Linked DNA regions of Canis lupus familiaris. The protein of the gene in region 1 binds, or shares a complex with, the protein of each later gene. Links are inferred from orthologs where the notes say so. Each region holds a gene or a part of one and is shown in the gene's direction. Other genes may lie near its edges.

Evidence for each region.
Region 2: the proteins of SYK (region 1) and TYROBP are in contact, whole or in part, in a crystal structure (PDB 7Q5W), measured with the Homo sapiens proteins. The link is inferred for Canis lupus familiaris from reciprocal best matches to the Homo sapiens genes SYK and TYROBP. Residues at the interface, in NP_001167638.1 of Homo sapiens: Arg22, Arg42, Asn46, His62, His63, Tyr64, Thr65, Ile76, Ala77, Gly78, Gly79, His92, Asp97, Gly98, Leu99, Arg175, Arg195, Arg197, Lys212, Leu214, His215, Tyr216, Arg217, Ile228, Pro229, Glu230, Gly231, Lys232, His243, Lys247; in NP_003323.1 of Homo sapiens: Pro90, Tyr91, Gln92, Glu93, Leu94, Gln95, Arg98, Ser99, Asp100, Val101, Tyr102, Ser103, Asp104, Leu105, Asn106.

The regions. Positions count from the first base shown.
Region 1 is NC_049222.1:96,693,699-96,701,333, reverse strand, and holds the start of SYK (tyrosine-protein kinase SYK), read left to right. Parts: upstream 1-2,623; 5' UTR 2,624-2,745; intron 2,746-2,781; exon of another isoform or gene 2,782-2,945; intron 2,946-3,098; exon of another isoform or gene 3,099-3,306; intron 3,307-7,635. UniProt on the Homo sapiens protein: Non-receptor tyrosine kinase which mediates signal transduction downstream of a variety of transmembrane receptors including classical immunoreceptors like the B-cell receptor (BCR).
Region 2 is NC_049222.1:117,600,147-117,607,785, forward strand, and holds TYROBP (TYRO protein tyrosine kinase-binding protein precursor), read left to right. Parts: upstream 1-3,174; 5' UTR 3,175-3,257; coding exon 3,258-3,318; intron 3,319-3,702; coding exon 3,703-3,729; intron 3,730-3,881; coding exon 3,882-4,016; intron 4,017-4,184; coding exon 4,185-4,231; intron 4,232-6,106; coding exon 6,107-6,172; 3' UTR 6,173-6,339; downstream 6,340-7,639. Other genes in the region: HCST (hematopoietic cell signal transducer), read right to left, coding at 6,600-6,640, 6,871-7,002, 7,451-7,474. UniProt on the Homo sapiens protein: Adapter protein which non-covalently associates with activating receptors found on the surface of a variety of immune cells to mediate signaling and cell activation following ligand binding by the receptors.

The DNA.
Region 1 (7,635 bases):
GAGAGGGAATGGAAGAGATGAATCCTTGAAAGACTGCAACCATGCAACCACAAGTTGACCAAAATTGTGCCCAAATTTCCAGCCCAAATTCCTATCACCTAGGTGATCCAAAGAAACCATAAGCTGAGAATTTACTTTTAATTGTCCAAACATTAGTTTTACCCTAGGCTTCTGACCAAAGCAAAGGCAAATTGTCTCCGAAAGAAAACGTCTCTTCCTAGACCTCAATGAAGGTCCATGAATGGTTTTTCCGAAGTGGCGAGAGGCTCACAGTGAGTGCAGCCAAGTTTACAAGGAAGTTTGACACCATGAGCCAGAACCAGTAGAAATAAACAAGGCCAACAGACAGGAGGTTTCAGATGTCAATGAACACAGCAACCCCAGGAAATAGAGTTACTGTTCTTTTTTTTTTTTTTTTAAGATTTTCTTTATTTATTCATGAGAGACACAGGGAGAGAGGCAGAGACACAGGCAGGGGGATAAGCAGGCTCCCTGTGGGGAGCCCGATGTGGGACTTGATCCTGGGACTCCAAGATCACACCGTGGGCCGAAGGCAGACGCTTCACCACTGAGGCACCCAGGCACCCCTAGAGTTACTATTCTTAAAGAAAAAAAAAAAAAGAATCTGCAAGGAACAGGAGACTTTAAAAAGTAGCAGTGTGGGGAGTCCCAGAGACCATCAGAGTACAGGGTTTCATGGGGGGGGGGGGGCTCCAGGACTCAGACAATAATGACAGCTAAGATTTACTGAGTGAAGGGTGAACAGCAAAGCCATTGGAGGGAGAAGACCATTGGGAGAAGGAAGAAACGCTGGCAGAAATGTATTGACTTTTTTTTTTTTTAATTTTTATTTTGAAGTTGTCTTTTTGAAAGTTTTTTTTTTCTAGGTATTTGTGTAATGACTTTAACATTATGTTTTTTTTTCCAAAATCATCATAAGCATGCTCAGTCACTTAAATGCCCCAAAGGTGAGAGGGACCACACAGCAGTGCAGGAAGGCATTGTGTAGGGACTGATCTAGAACCTCATCGCCATTGGCTGCCCCTAGGGAAACACGTCATCTTCATCATCTTCATTAACACCAGGTTTGCTCTTCTCATGCAGATTCAAAACAAATCCCATTTGTCCATTTCCAATGATATTACCCACTCTGGAAACCTCCTGTGTACATGTTTTGCAGCTTCTGTTTAGAGAATGCTGGCTATTTCATTGGCTGTTTGAAGCAAAATTTAAGTCCAATGCTTATCAAATAGAGCCATAATAAAAATCCCTCACTTGACTTAAAAATGAATAGAAGAGAATGTCCAGGTGGGAAAGACTGAGGGGCCGCGATGAGTGTCCATACTCCCTATCACCTCGTATTTCTCCATGGCAATTATAATCTAACACGCTATATATTTCACTTTGAATTTTGGGGCTCAGGGCACAGCCTTTTAAAACACTTACTGCTACCTGTTACCAAGAATCTGAGGATCTGGGCACTGTTTTATGGGAAAATTTTAAAGAGGGCTCCCTGATAGAAAAACGAGGAGAGGGGATAGGGCATTTTAGAAATATTTTTTAGAACTACAATAAATTTAAAAAAAAACTACAGTAAATATATTTTTTAAAGATGTTATTTATTTATTCATGAGAGAGGCAGAGACACAGGCAAAGAGAGGGAGAAGCAGGCTCCCCGGGGGACATGATCCCAGGAATACGGGATCAGGACCTGAGCCAAAGGCAGACATTCCACACTGAGCCACCCAGGTGCCCCAATACTACGGTAAATATTAAACTTAATTTATTTAGGTCCAGGCATAAGAACCGGTTGTGGGCTGAAGGGAGCAAGTTGAGCTCACTGTCAAGAACCTTGAAATCACCAGAGCCCTCAGAAAACACGGCGTGGGACAAGCCGGGCCCTTCCAGCAGAGCGCAGTGAAGTCCGATGTGCACCTAGAGCCTAACTCTAAAGGCAGGGTGCAGAGGGCCTTGGGGTCACAGGTCAGCAGGAGCGGCTTGGGTTGGTGACCAGGAGGGAGTCCGCCCCCCAGTGAGCAAGAGTCTCTTCCCACGCCAGGGCCCTGCGCGATGGGCGCGCCCTTTTAGCGCTGCCAGTGGTTCAAAGGACCAGGTGGCAGGTTGGCAAGGCGGCCAGAGGTTCCTGTTGCTGTCAGGGCCCCTTGTGTGTGGATGAAGACCCCTGGGGTGGGCCTTCTGGGCCTGGGAGGCAGGGCGCAGGGGGCTAGGGGCGCTCGGAGCCTGTCCTGGGCGCACGGGCAGCAGGCACGGCGTGGGGTCCCTGCAGGCACTCCGGGTGGGCCCGGGGCGCTGGGAGCACAGGGGCACGGGGGCGCACCGCAGGCTGGCGGGCGGGTGGGTGGGCCCCGGGCGCGGGGGCGCTGGGGGCACTCGGGCGGGCGCGGGGTCACTGGGGCGCACCGGCGGGCGGGGTAGGCGGGTCCGGGGCGCGGGGGCGCTGGGGGCACTGGGGCGGGCGCGGGGTCGCTGGGGCGCACGGGCGGGCGGGGAGAGGCGGGGGGGGGCGGGCCCCCGGCGCTGGGGCGCGGCGGCCGGGAGGAAGTGCGGGGCCTGCCCGGCGCGTTAAGGAAGTTGCCCAAAATGAGGAAGCGCCTCGCGCTGGCCGGCTGAGAAGACTCCAGCGGCGGGAGGAGCGAGGAGCAGCGGGCGGTCCCGTGCTGCGCCCCGAGCCGTCCGCGCCCGCGCCCCGCGCCCCGCGCCCCGCCCTCGGCTCACCTGGCACAGGTAGGTGTGGCGCGCGCCCTGGGCCGGGCAGCCGGGACGCGGAGCCCCGGGCAGCCGGGAGCAGGGGAAGGCGGGCGGGGCGACGCGCCTGTCGCCCCCCTGCCCGCCCCGAGTCCGGGTCTGTGCGGGGCCCTCGGCGGGGCAGGTGCGCTCAGGGCCTCGGGAGGGACAGGCTGATCGAGTCTCTGGAATCAGGACGGGTAGGTCCTCCACCGAGCACTCCCGGGGTCGGTGGGGTCGGGCCTGCCGGGCACGCGGGGCGGGGCGCCAGTGGGGCGGGCGGGGGGGGGGTGCGGAAGCCGCAGGTGCCGGCGGCGGGCGCGGATCCGGGGCGCAGGAGGCTCACCTTGTCCTTTGGCCATTTTATCGCTGCCCTGGGAAATTCCACCTTGTTGATGTGGGTGACTCCAGGTGCCAGTGCTCCTGGGCCTGCGGAGGGTTCAGCGCTTGCACGCCTTTTCCTACAGAAAGAGCAGTTGTGTAGAAACAAGAAACTTCCCGGGCCACCCCTAAAATGGAGCAGGATCGCTCGTTGAGACACGTTTTCACGGTACAGTGACAGTAAGTGCCGCCGAGAGCCCAGTGTGGTGCGATGCCGATGCCGGGTCAGTTGGAGTTGGGCAGCATAGCTCCCAAAGCATCAGCCCGCCTACCTAGCTGTACAGAGGCGATTCAGCTTTGGGTTTATTCGAATGTTCCAGAACTAGGAAGACCTAGTCTGGAGAAGTCACGGTTTGAGGCTTTTGATGTTGGAGACAGTGTTGCAGGTTATTTTCATCCGTTTGACTGAATGACCAAAGATTCCGTTGATCCCTAGCAACCCTTGAGCAGCAGGTGTTCTTTCCTTAAGCCCTGGAAGCGCTGTCAGTGGGTAGTTTAAAGGTTGGAGATGCCCCACATCGGAATTTTCTAGTTAAAAAAGAGTTCATCTTGTGATGACTTGGAATTCTTGGAAGGAATGGAAATGATTCTAGCATCTGAAGCCTTTTTTTTTTTTTTTTTTCAGTAAGAAGAAATTCATTGCCACTAGGAAGGCAGCATTTTAATTTCACGGAACTAAATTCATTGATCTGCTCTCTCCCCCCCCCCCCGCCCCCCCAAAAAAAAGTCCCTATTGTGCATGAATATATTTATCCTTGAGCTAACACCTTTAGAAAGGTGTAGAGTACTAGGGGTTTTAAACGAGAAATCTTCTCCATTAAAATTTTTTATCAAGTCATTTTGTTCCATCTCCATTATACTTTTGTTTTGTTACGTTTAGAGGAGATTTTGTAGTAAAATAGAAATGGATTTCTAGTCTCTGTATGTGGAGCGCTTTCATAGGTAGGATTTTATAAATAGGCTTAGTAACTAGAATGTTTTTAATGTTTTAAGCTAGGATAAAAAAATGAGGCGTATACTTTAGGTCTTAACCTCTGCTAAGGGAAGAACTTGACAAATAATCTTATTGTTAGATCTGTATTTAAGAAATAACTCACTTTCACCTTCTTTAGGCTCATATTTAATTTAATATCCTAAGCGCAAGTCTGACCTCTCAGTTTTATTTATTTTCCTTTTTAAAAAAATTTCTCTGCTTTTAAACCAAAGACTCCCTAGTACAGTATCTACTTTATGCAGCACATAGCACGTCCACAATTATTTTCCAAAACCCATGTGCTAAGATATGTTTTGGAATCCTGGATTTTTCACAATTTAGAGTTCAAATTGGGAAGCTAAATTTCAGCATTGAGAAAAACATTTCTCAGAATTTAGAGAGGTACGTGTCCACACTGTCGCCGTGTATTAGAGACTCTGGTACATGCTGGGCGGCCTCCCATACTCCCACCCGTTCATATGTCTGCACGGACACTGTGACTTGTCGCATTTAGTGGAATAAACACACTATAAATAGCTGTGTGTCCGTTTAGGGCAGATGTCACTGAGTGAGTTCCCTAAAACTTACCTCAAAACCTTATTTCTCAGGGGTTTTACGCATCAGGACGTTTGGAACCATATGAGACTCCTAGGGCCTTTTGTTTACTTTTGGAAATAAATCGCATTTCTCCTGTCCAGTAACTATACCTTCTGTGATTAAATGGGCAAATTGCCCCTTTTCAGGGAGCAAGACCTCATTGAAATTTCAATGATAACCATCACAATACAGATCCAAGTGAGAATAAATGATGTTATTTTTTAAGATTTTATTTATTTATTCACCAGAGACAGAGAGAGGGGCATGTGGGACTCCATCCCAGGACCCCAGGGTCATGCCCTGGGCCAAAGGCAGACGCTCCACCCCTGAGCCACCAGGGGCCCCAAGATGGATGATTTTAGAGCAAGAATGCAGGGAGGTTACTGCCATCCTTTGTGCCCACAGTATGTTTTTGGAAGAAGTAGTATTTCCTGTTCCCCCCACGGCAGGCTCGCCGTCTCTGTGTTATCTGTTCCTGAGGAATGGAAGAGCACTTTTTTACAATCCGAGCTAATTCTTCCTTTATCCTCACCCTGCCCCCTTGCTCCCCATTTGCAAAGTTTTAACATCTTCCATTGCTGGATCATTTTGGGTGCAAATGAGTAGAGAAAAAATTAGCCCTTGGGAGAGGACTTTTTTTAATGTTCATGCACTGAACTTTTTTTTTTTTTTTTTCTTTTAAAGCAACTGAAATCAAAAGGCAAAGTCCTTAGAAGAGCCTGGAATTAAATTGTCTGAATTAACTGTGTCTCATCTCTTGCTCTTCCACCTTGCGTTTCAATAAGTTGGTTCTTTTTCACTTGGAAAAAAAACAGGTTTTTGTTTTGCTTTTGACTAGGCAAAGATGAGTACACAAGGAGACAGAGCGGATTTGAAAGGAGAAGTTCATTCATTCATTCTGGTGTTCCATTAGCAGGCACGTTTCCTATGAGCTTATAGTTTCATCTGACAAAAAAACAAATTAGCTTGCATTCTTTGAAACCTGTTTGTCTTTATAAATGAATTATGTTAAGTTTTGCCCTTTGGATCTTGAAAAGTTGAATTAGCATCGTAAGTGCAGTCACATCTAGTTGAGGCCAACAAGACCAGTCCAGGGAAGAGTATTAGGGCTAACGAATCAGAAGTGGCTCGCTCTGCATCTGTCCATTTCTGGAAACCACCAGAAATGTTTTTTGGAGGCTGCCAGAGGCTGATGGTAGGAGGAGGAAGTGAGTATTGAGGGAGTATCAGTTAACACCCTGATTACTCAGGAGAGGGGGCCCTGACAGCTTTTATGATGGCTGGTATCTGGTGAGTAGTATCCCCTGTCCCGGGGTGCCTCCCTCTGACACAGGGGGTGCTTGGACCCTGGAGCTGAGGGGCCCTGGAAGGGTCACCACCTCCCAAGGCTGTGCTGGAGCACTGTAGGGGGCCCAGGGCCAGAGGGTTCTGGGCTTCTCCCCGATTGGCCCACGGTATGGGAGGCGTTGATCCCAGTGCAGGCTGAGCTGGCAGGAGGGTCACAAGGCCAGCGGCAGGGTAATGGAGGCGCAGGCCCAGGGACGGTGAGGACGATGAGTCGGGGGGAGTGAGGAAGGATGGCTGAGGGCCCAGTTTTGGGAAAAGCCACAACTTAGATATGGCCTGTTTATCTATGCTCTGTGTGGCTACAGAAAGCTTTGGAATTTCCAGCATGTGACCATCTGCTTTCCCACTACAGTTGTTTGCCTTAATTGATAAATCATCATTCCAATTTGGTCAGTCTGATAATTTCTTAGGGTGGGCTGTTTCTGGGATGCCTGGGTGGCTCAGTGGTTGAGCACCCACCTTCAGCTCAGGTCATGATCCCAAGGTCCTGGGATCGAGTCCCACATCGGGCTCCCCGCATGGAGCCTGCTTCTCCCTCTGCCTGTGTCTCCACCTCTCTCTCTGTGTATGTCTCATGAATAAAGAAATAAAATCTTAAAAAGAAAAAGACTGTTTCTGCTGACTTGTCATGGGGATGTTTTGCTGTGGCCAGAGTTAAATTTTACTTTTGCGAAATTCTAATTTATGCCAATACCTTCCCACCCTCTACAGCTGTTCCCCAAAGTGATCTTTTGACCCTTATAGCTATTTCTTCTAGAATTCTCCACCTTATTTCCTGATGATAGGCTCATTTGTTCTTGTTTTTGATGTATCGGTTTTAGACAGTGTCTGTCAACTTCCTGCTGTGAGAAGGGAGCCGGTGGCAGTGCCAGGCCACCGCCTCCACCCACCACAGTCCTGCTGTAACCCCCGGGGATGAGAAGCCCATTTGGTGTTTATGGTGATCGTAGTCACTGCGAAGGCAACGTGTGCAATATAGTTTCAGTGCGTTTCCTGGAGCCCTCTGTCACTTTTCCCGGGTAAACTCTTACTTTTGTGTCTTCTTGGTGACTCTCTGCCTGCGACAATGGTCTCCCCAGCTCTGCGACACAAAACTAACCTCCCCACTGGAGTCTGATCACTGCTCTGGTCTTCACTACACACACGTTCATGAGGGAAACCTGTCCTGTCCCGGGGAGACGGCTGACTGTCCACATTGTTTGCAAAGTGCCTGTCAGACCTCTGCTCCACCCTGTGGCGTCTTCACATACCGCTCACCAACCGCATTCACGTGCAGTTGAGCCATTAGAAATCCGCAGTAATAATTGTCGAAAATATTTCCTCAAAACTTTATATTTCTAGGATGTGTATGTACGGATGATCTGTATGTTCTAGATCATACATAGGAATTCCAGCGTGGGAATTTTAAATCAATCTCAGCCCCGCTTCTGTATTTGCTCTGACATGGGTGTTTTCTTATCCAATCGATGGGAATGTATAATTTCCCCGGGCACGGGGAGGGAGCCCGCAGTGCTTTTTTTTTCAGATGCTCTGGCCTGGATCCCTTGGTCCTGGAGCAGGTGCTGTTTGATTTTAAATGCTATCCCCAGAGA
Region 2 (7,639 bases), about 21 Mb from region 1:
ACTGGTGGCCGTTTAGTCCAATATTGAAAGAGTATTTACTGAGCCTCTACTATATGTGCTGGGGATACGACAGTGAACAAGGCAGAAAGGCTCCTGTTCTCATGGAGTTTCCATTCTAGAGGAAGTAGCGGACAGTATAAATGGGAACACACAATTCAGAGGATTTCAGGTATGATAAATGTAGGAAGAAAATGAAACTGGTGGTGGGAGGCGACTTGAGCAATGGTGGTCAGGAGAGGCCTCCATGAGGGTGTGACATTTGAGCTGAGATCTGGAGGATGGGAAAGGTCCAGTTCTACATGGACTTTGGGGGAAAGCATCATAGGCAGGGGGAACGGCAGGTATAAAGGTCCTGGGGTGAGAATGAACTTGACTTAAACAAGAAGCAGCAAGACGGCCAGTGTAGCTAGAGTAAGGGAAGCGAGGGAAAGAGGGGGAGGTGGGGAGGGCAGAAAGATGGGCAGGTCTTTATGTTAATACATGCTTTTATTTCTCTTGGTCAGGATGTCTGTTCTGTGGAGCTGCTGGATCTCTGCGTCGGTGAGTATTTACCTTTCTAAGAAACTACCCAACTCTTTCCCAACGTGTTGGCTCTATTCTTCATTTCTGCCGGCAGTGTGAGATTTCCAATCGCTCCACCTCGCTGCTGACACCTGAGATGGTCAGTCTTTTTAAGACAGTCATTCCAGTGGGTGTGTAGTGGTATTTCATTGTGGTTTAAATCCATATTTCCCTAATGGCTGATGATGTTGAGTGCCTTTTCACACGCTTGTTGGCCACTCAGGTCTCTTTTGTGACGCATCCGTTCAAAACGTGGGGCCATTTACAAAATTGGTTCTCTGGCTTTTCCAAGAACCTCCTCTGGCTGCTGGGGGGAGGATGGACTATAGGGGGCAGAAGTAGAAGCAGGGAGAGTAGGGAGGAGCTGGAGCTTCCACAGACAAGCTTGTCACAGGCGCAACACATTGCCTGCCTTCTGGCAACGTCAGCTGGGGCCTTGCCCAACTCTTGGGCTGCGGCCAGGAGAGATTGAGACACTTTGCGGATCTCATGGGAGGGTGAAGCAGCCCTACTTCCTGGAGCCTGGGCTGTGTGAGGGGTGGCTCCCAGTCAGCTGGGTGCCCTCCATCTCAGCCTTCTTTCACCCAATGGCTAATCCGCCCAGAGACGGTCCAGTCCGACCAGGCCAGGCCAACATTCTGTGGTCTGCACCAGTATAGTCATACCAGTTGCTAAAATATTTAAATACTTCATTTCTGGTTGGTAAAGAGCCTCTATCCCCCCCCCACAGATACCTGCATTCCCTTGGGATACCTCAGACTTCCTCACATCACGGCAATGGCAATTAAAAGGGGGGGGGGGCTCCAGGTCTCAGACCCAGCCGTTTGGTTGCAGCTCCCTGATTGGTTGGTGCACCAGTGTGCCGGCTATGAGACTGAACTTGGGGACAGTTCAGGCCTGGCTGGAGTCGTCGGGAGGACCAGATTGGGAGGCTGAGTCTGAGGGATAGAGGGAGGATTTTTATCAAGGTGAGCCCAGAACTGGAGACTTTTAGTACTAATAACAATAACAGTAATGATGAGGGTAGTGATTCATATTCACTGAGCATATACAGAGACATCACTCTGATAGACCTCACAGAATCTTCACATAAACTGGCCCTTGCTCCGCTCCCTGCCCCCCCACAGTGTCAGTGTGCTCCCTACCCCCCCAGCACCTGAGTCAGATCAAGACCCTCCAGCCTCAGAGCTTCCTCTGATCTCTGACTGCCCCGTGGCTCACTCGGCTTCAGCCACCTTGAGGCCTGGTGTGCTGCCAGTGGGGCTTCCAGGGCCTGGTCTCTCTGTGCTCACTGCAGACCCGGTGGTGGTAGTGGAGGGGTTGTTGGTTCTTTAGCAACTGGACTCGGCCAGGCCTGGGCGATGGTGGCTGTTACCAGCCTGTGCTACCTCCGAATGGGCCCTGACTCTCCTCTGGCTTCCAAATCCGCCCACCACCAAGCGCCACTCAGAGTCTGTCCCATGACCAGCATCCAGTTTCCCCTTTTCTCCCCTAAGACCAGGCCCTGGTAGCTGTGGAGTGTGACGCCTGGATGGGGGAGGAGGGCTTCCTGCCACTGGCCCATCCCCCAGTACCCTAACCTCAGGTTCCTCCTAGCCAGCCCCAGCTCAGGCTGGCAGTGGGGGGCGGCGGCACGACTAGAGGTCCCTGTCTCCTCCTGGGTGCCCTCCTTCTGTCCTCACTTCCAGCTACTTCCTCATTTGGTGGTCACCACGTTGTCTCCCATTTGCCTCACCCCAAACCCCCGATCCCTGTGTCTGTACTGGGTTTTATCAGCGTCACTGTCTATCCTTCTCTCTCTTTCTCCTTCCCAATCTTTCATCTTGGTTCTTTTTTCTTTCCCTCTAAGGATCAAATATCTGTCCTTGGGTCCTGGGTTTCATTATCACCTTTATTGGCTGTGTCACCTTGCCAAGTGTCTTTTTTTTTTTTTTTAAGACTTTGTTTATTTATTCATGAGAGACACAGAGAGAGGCAGAGACACAGGCAGAGGCAGAGTTCTGCGGAACTTGATCCCAGAACCACTGCTCAACCACTGAGCCAAAGGCAGATGCTCAACCACTGAGCCACCCCGGTGCCCCTGGGCAATGATAAGAGCAACCATCTCAGATGGGTGTGGGAGTTGAAAGAGTTAACACCGTAGGACAGAATGCCTGCAGCTTATTAGGACCCATATCCCGATGGCTCTCTGCAATATCCTATAAATATCACAAAGTTCTGATTATCAAATAATTATAGCTGGTACTTATAAAAGGCTAACGAGTGTTGGACCCTGTTCTGGAAACATTAATTCACAAGCCCCTGCAAAATAGGTACTAATTTACTCTTCCATTTTACAGGTAAGGGAGCTGAGGCCCAGAGAGGTTGAATGACTTGTTTAAGCCAGGAAGAGGAAAAGCTGGCTTCAGTCATAGCCACTGACTGTCCTGTTGCACTGATGGCTGACCCCCGGTCAGGGGTGGATTGGTGCATGTAGCCTTTTTCTTTTTACGTCCAGTCCTTAGAGGCTATAGCGTGGCCCCCACGGTGTCTCGGCCTGATTCTTCCTGGCATTATCTGTCTCCGTCCCTCCTCCTGTATTGTCCCCTCCTCCCTTCTGCCACCGCCCACCTCAGACTTCCTCCTTCACTTGGTTGGACGCTACACCACATCCCACCGGCCCCTGGACTCTGGCGTCCAGCAGCGTCGCCTGTGTCATGGGGGTCCTTGGACCTTCCAACAGGCTCCTGTTCCTGCCTCTCCTTCTGAGCATGGGTGGTGAGTTGGGGGCTTCTACAGCTGCCTCCCGAGTCCCTGGGTTCAGCTTGGGGCAGAGCGGGGTACAGGATAGAAAGAGAACCAAAAGGGAGGTGGGGGAAAGCAGATCCCTGTCCCTCAAAAGTTATGTCTGTCTCCCAGAGCCAGAGCCCCCAAGATTTGGCCTCTGGTAGAAGCAAGGGGGAAGGGACTGTCCGGGTGTCGCAATAGGACAAGTTGGGATAGAAATAGCACAGTCCAGTAGCCTTGATGCTGGCCCACAGGTCCCACCAGACACAAAATTCCACTCATTTCCTAGCTCTCAGGATCCACCCTCCCCACCTTCTGTGCCCACCCTCCTGTCACAGCCCCATGACTCAATTTACCTTCTTTTTCTCCCCTCAGGTTTCAGCCCTATCCAGGCACAGGACGGTAGGCCTAGACTCTGCAGTCTCCCTCCCTACCTCCCGAAGATCTCCCCACCTCTATCTGTTCCCCAATCTCTCTGAACCTTCCCCTGCTGACACTTCCTCCCAATTCCCAACTTCCACTGACCACCCCAAACCTTTGGGCCACATTCTCAGGATGCAACTGCCCCGTGGTGAGTCCCGGTGTGCTGGCAGGGATCGTGCTGGGGGACCTGGTGCTGACCCTCCTCATTGCCTTGGCCGTGTACTCCTTGGGCCGAATGTTTCCTCGGGGACGAGGGTCTGTGGAAGGTGAGTGGGGCTGGCGAGGGATAGCCTGGGACTTCCTGAGGGAGGAGGAAGCTCCCAAGTCACAACCATCCGAAGTGGGTGATGGAGGGGCTGATTTTGCATCAGCAAAATGGTCCCAGTTCACCACCTGAACTGTCTCTGCACTCTGCTCTACTCCCCATCCCCCAGCAGTGACCAGGAAACAGCGCATCACTGAGACAGAGTCGCCTTATCAGGTGAGAAAACCAGCTTCTCTTCCTCACATGTCCCTCCTACCCTGTAGGTGTCTGTCTTAAATACTTTCCCAGTCCCTCTAGAACCTAGACCCTAAAGCCACTTTCTGAGCAACATTGCCAACCTCAAAGATTAACGGGGCATCTGTCCAAAACGGCTTTCAATGATCAATCATGGCCTTATGCTCAGCTTACAATGTGTGAGAAAACATGGGGTTTTATGTTTGCAAGGGCACATAGAGGCCTTTGCCAGAAGGCAAGCACTGAAGTGTTCGGGACAGGATGATTTCTGGGACGAGCTCTTAAAAGAGCAGAGAACAGATTTCAGCCCCAATTCGGTAACTCTGAAGAGAGGAGTTTTAGACTTTTTGGAAGGAAGGATCCTGTATCCCTTTGAGAAGCTGATGAAAGCTAGAGACTCCTCAGAAAAACTCACACAAAAATTTACAAAACTGTGCATGTGATCGAGGGGTGGTACAAGTATCTTGAAACCCTTCTTAAGGACTACCATGCAGGTGTGCCTAGGGTGGCTCAGTCCATTAAGCATCTGGCTCTTGATTTTGGCTCACGTCGTGGTCTCAGGGTTGTGGAATGTCTGGCTCCCTGCTCAGTGGGGAGTCTGCTTGGAACTCTCTCTCTCCCTCTCCTTCTGCCCCTCCCCCTCTCCCCCTGCTTGTGCTCTCTCTCTTTCCAAAATAAATAAATCTTTTAAAAAAAAATTCTCCTCTTGCCTCCATCCTCACATGTGCATGCTCTCTCTCTCTCTCTAAAAAAGAAAAAAAAAGGGATCCCTGGGTGGCGCAGCGGTTTGGCGCCTGCCTTTGGCCCGGGGCGCGATCCTGGAGACCCGGGATCGAATCCCACGTTGGGCTCCCGGTGCATGGAGCCTGCTTCTCCCTCTGTCTATGTCTCTGCCTCTCTCTCTCTCTCTCTGTGACTATCATAAATAAAAAAAAAAAATGCCACCATGCAGACAGAGGCACCTTTCCATCTCTTGCCTCTCTGTCAGTGCCCTTCTACACTTTGGGGAGTCATGGGCTCCTGTGCGAAGCTAAGGGAAGCCAAACAGCCCCCTTCCCATAAAGATGTATACCCAGGCCAGTCATTCGTGTAGGATTTCAGGGATTCAGCTTGAGGGCTGCCTCTTGGGGCCATAGGTTTCCCCCCTCCCTGCCCCGCCAAATATGAGCCATGTTCTGTGAAGTCTCTTACTTACTTGCAGCCAACTTTGCTTTGTCTCACCTGGGGATTAAAAAGTCTCTTTGTAAAGTGTAAGCATCTTGAGTTTGGCCTTGTGAGGTCCAGGAAAATGAGGAAGCTTTTCGGTTATTGGGGGCAGTGACATGTTAGGGCAAAGCATGATTCTCATTTACTCAACCTTTGGTGGGATTTATTGAGCACCTACACTGCAACAGAGTTTACATCCTAGTTGGGGAGATAGACAAATGAACAGTTGAGATAATTTGGGGAGGTACCATGAAGAAATAAAGCTGATATGACAGTGACGACAGTGGGGGCAGGGTGTGGGTGAGGGGGGGAGAAATGTGATGACAAAATCAATAAATGCTTCTCTGAGAAAGTGACATGAGCTGCGACTTGAAGGGGGAGAAGGAACCATCCACGGGAATATCTAGGGAACCAGGGTTCCAGGCAGAGAGAACAGTATGTGCAAAGGCCCTGAGGCTGGGGCATGATGATGAGGTGGAGGAGAAAGGGAAACACTAAATGTACTTGATTAAAATCCAGATCTCTTCCGTGGCTGCGAGGTTGAAGAAGCTGCTAGGAGCCTTATAGGCCACTGGGAGAAGGCTGAATTTTGTTTTAAGTTTATTCAGTGGACCTCATCCACTAATGACTCCCACCGTGTCCCTCCATTAGGAGCTCCAAGGTCAGAGGTCAGATGTCTATAGTGACCTCAACACACAGAGGCCGTATTACAAATGAGCCTAAACCACGGCAGTCAACATCCTGATGCCTGGATCCACTCATTCCTGACACCTACCCTGCATCCTATTCCTACTTCCACCAAGATAAAGATCCACAGAGTGCCCTCTCTGAGAGGTCAGATTTCTCTCCATCACTGCCCCCAAATAAACGTGGCACATAAAAGATCTGTCGAGTCATCCCAGATCTTTCAGCTGAGGGGGGCTTGGATATGTGGGACTTGGGGCGGGGGGGGGGGGTCATTTACCCAGAAACAGATAAGTGGGAGGGAGGCTTTGGGGACCCTGGGGTTCTTTGAGGAAGAATTAGAACCAGAGGTATTTTCAATGGCTTTATTTCACCCCAAAGTGGGGAATGTGTTTCTGTGCTGCCACACACAACACAGGAAGCAGAGGGTCAGAAGTCCAAGGTCTCACTTACACGGGGGTCAGCCCCTGCCAGGCATGTTGATGTAGATTTTGTCATGTTCTGGAGGTGGGGGAGAGAAAGCATGAGGCCTGACCACCTACCACCCACCCACATCTCCACCTTCCTGGGGACCCCCTGCCTCAGGGGTTTCCTCTGGAGTTCCCCTCCAGTCACCGCCCCCAGGGTTTCCCCAGCATCTCCTCTAGGGCTTCCCTTGGGGGGCCCCTCCCTGGGGGCCCCTTCCCTAGGGACACTTCTCCCTCCAGGCCCTACCCTGTCTCTGTCCTCACCTTGGGTGGGCCTGTGGCGTGGGCAAGCACACACAAACACTGCTGCAATGATTAGCAGCGACACCACCGCATGGGCGGCCATGAGGCCTGCCAGCAGGGGCAGACAGACAGGCTCACATCCGGAACAGGAACCTGGAGGGTGGGGCCCAGGGGAGAAGGCAGTTGAGGAAGGTTCCAGACCCTCAGGGCTACACTTTGGACACTGGGAGCAGATGAAGTCCCTGGCGGGTGTGTGTGTGTGTGTGTCTGTCTGAGATTCCCCAAGGGTGACTTGGGGGATGAAAGAGGAGGTGGGTGGGGGCCCCCAGCACAGAGAGACATACGAGGTGCTTTGGGCATAGCGGGGACTCCCTACGAAGGCTAGGGGGTAGCCGAGTCCCTGGGGCTTCAATCTGGTGATGTGGGCAGTGAGATGGCGACCCAGAGAGGACCCCAGATCCTCGGGGCTCTGATTTGGTGAGAGGTGAGCTGGTGAGCTAGAGAGCCACTGGGGCTGTTCCAGGACCCTCAGGCCACCCTGTAGGGATGGAAGCAGTACCTGAAGTGCCATGGCAGAGGGCAAGGCGTGCTCATTTCTCACCTGGGGTCACCAGAGCTGCAATCACTGTGAAAAGAGAGGGAAAGTGGATTAGCAGGGGAGAGGCAGTTTCCAAAACAGGGTGCAGGGAAAAGGTGGTACCCTGAGAAGTAACCTCCGTTTGGGAGAGAGCAAATGAGAAAGAGCCCAGATGGGTAGGGGAGCTCCCAGACACACACACAGAGATAGAAA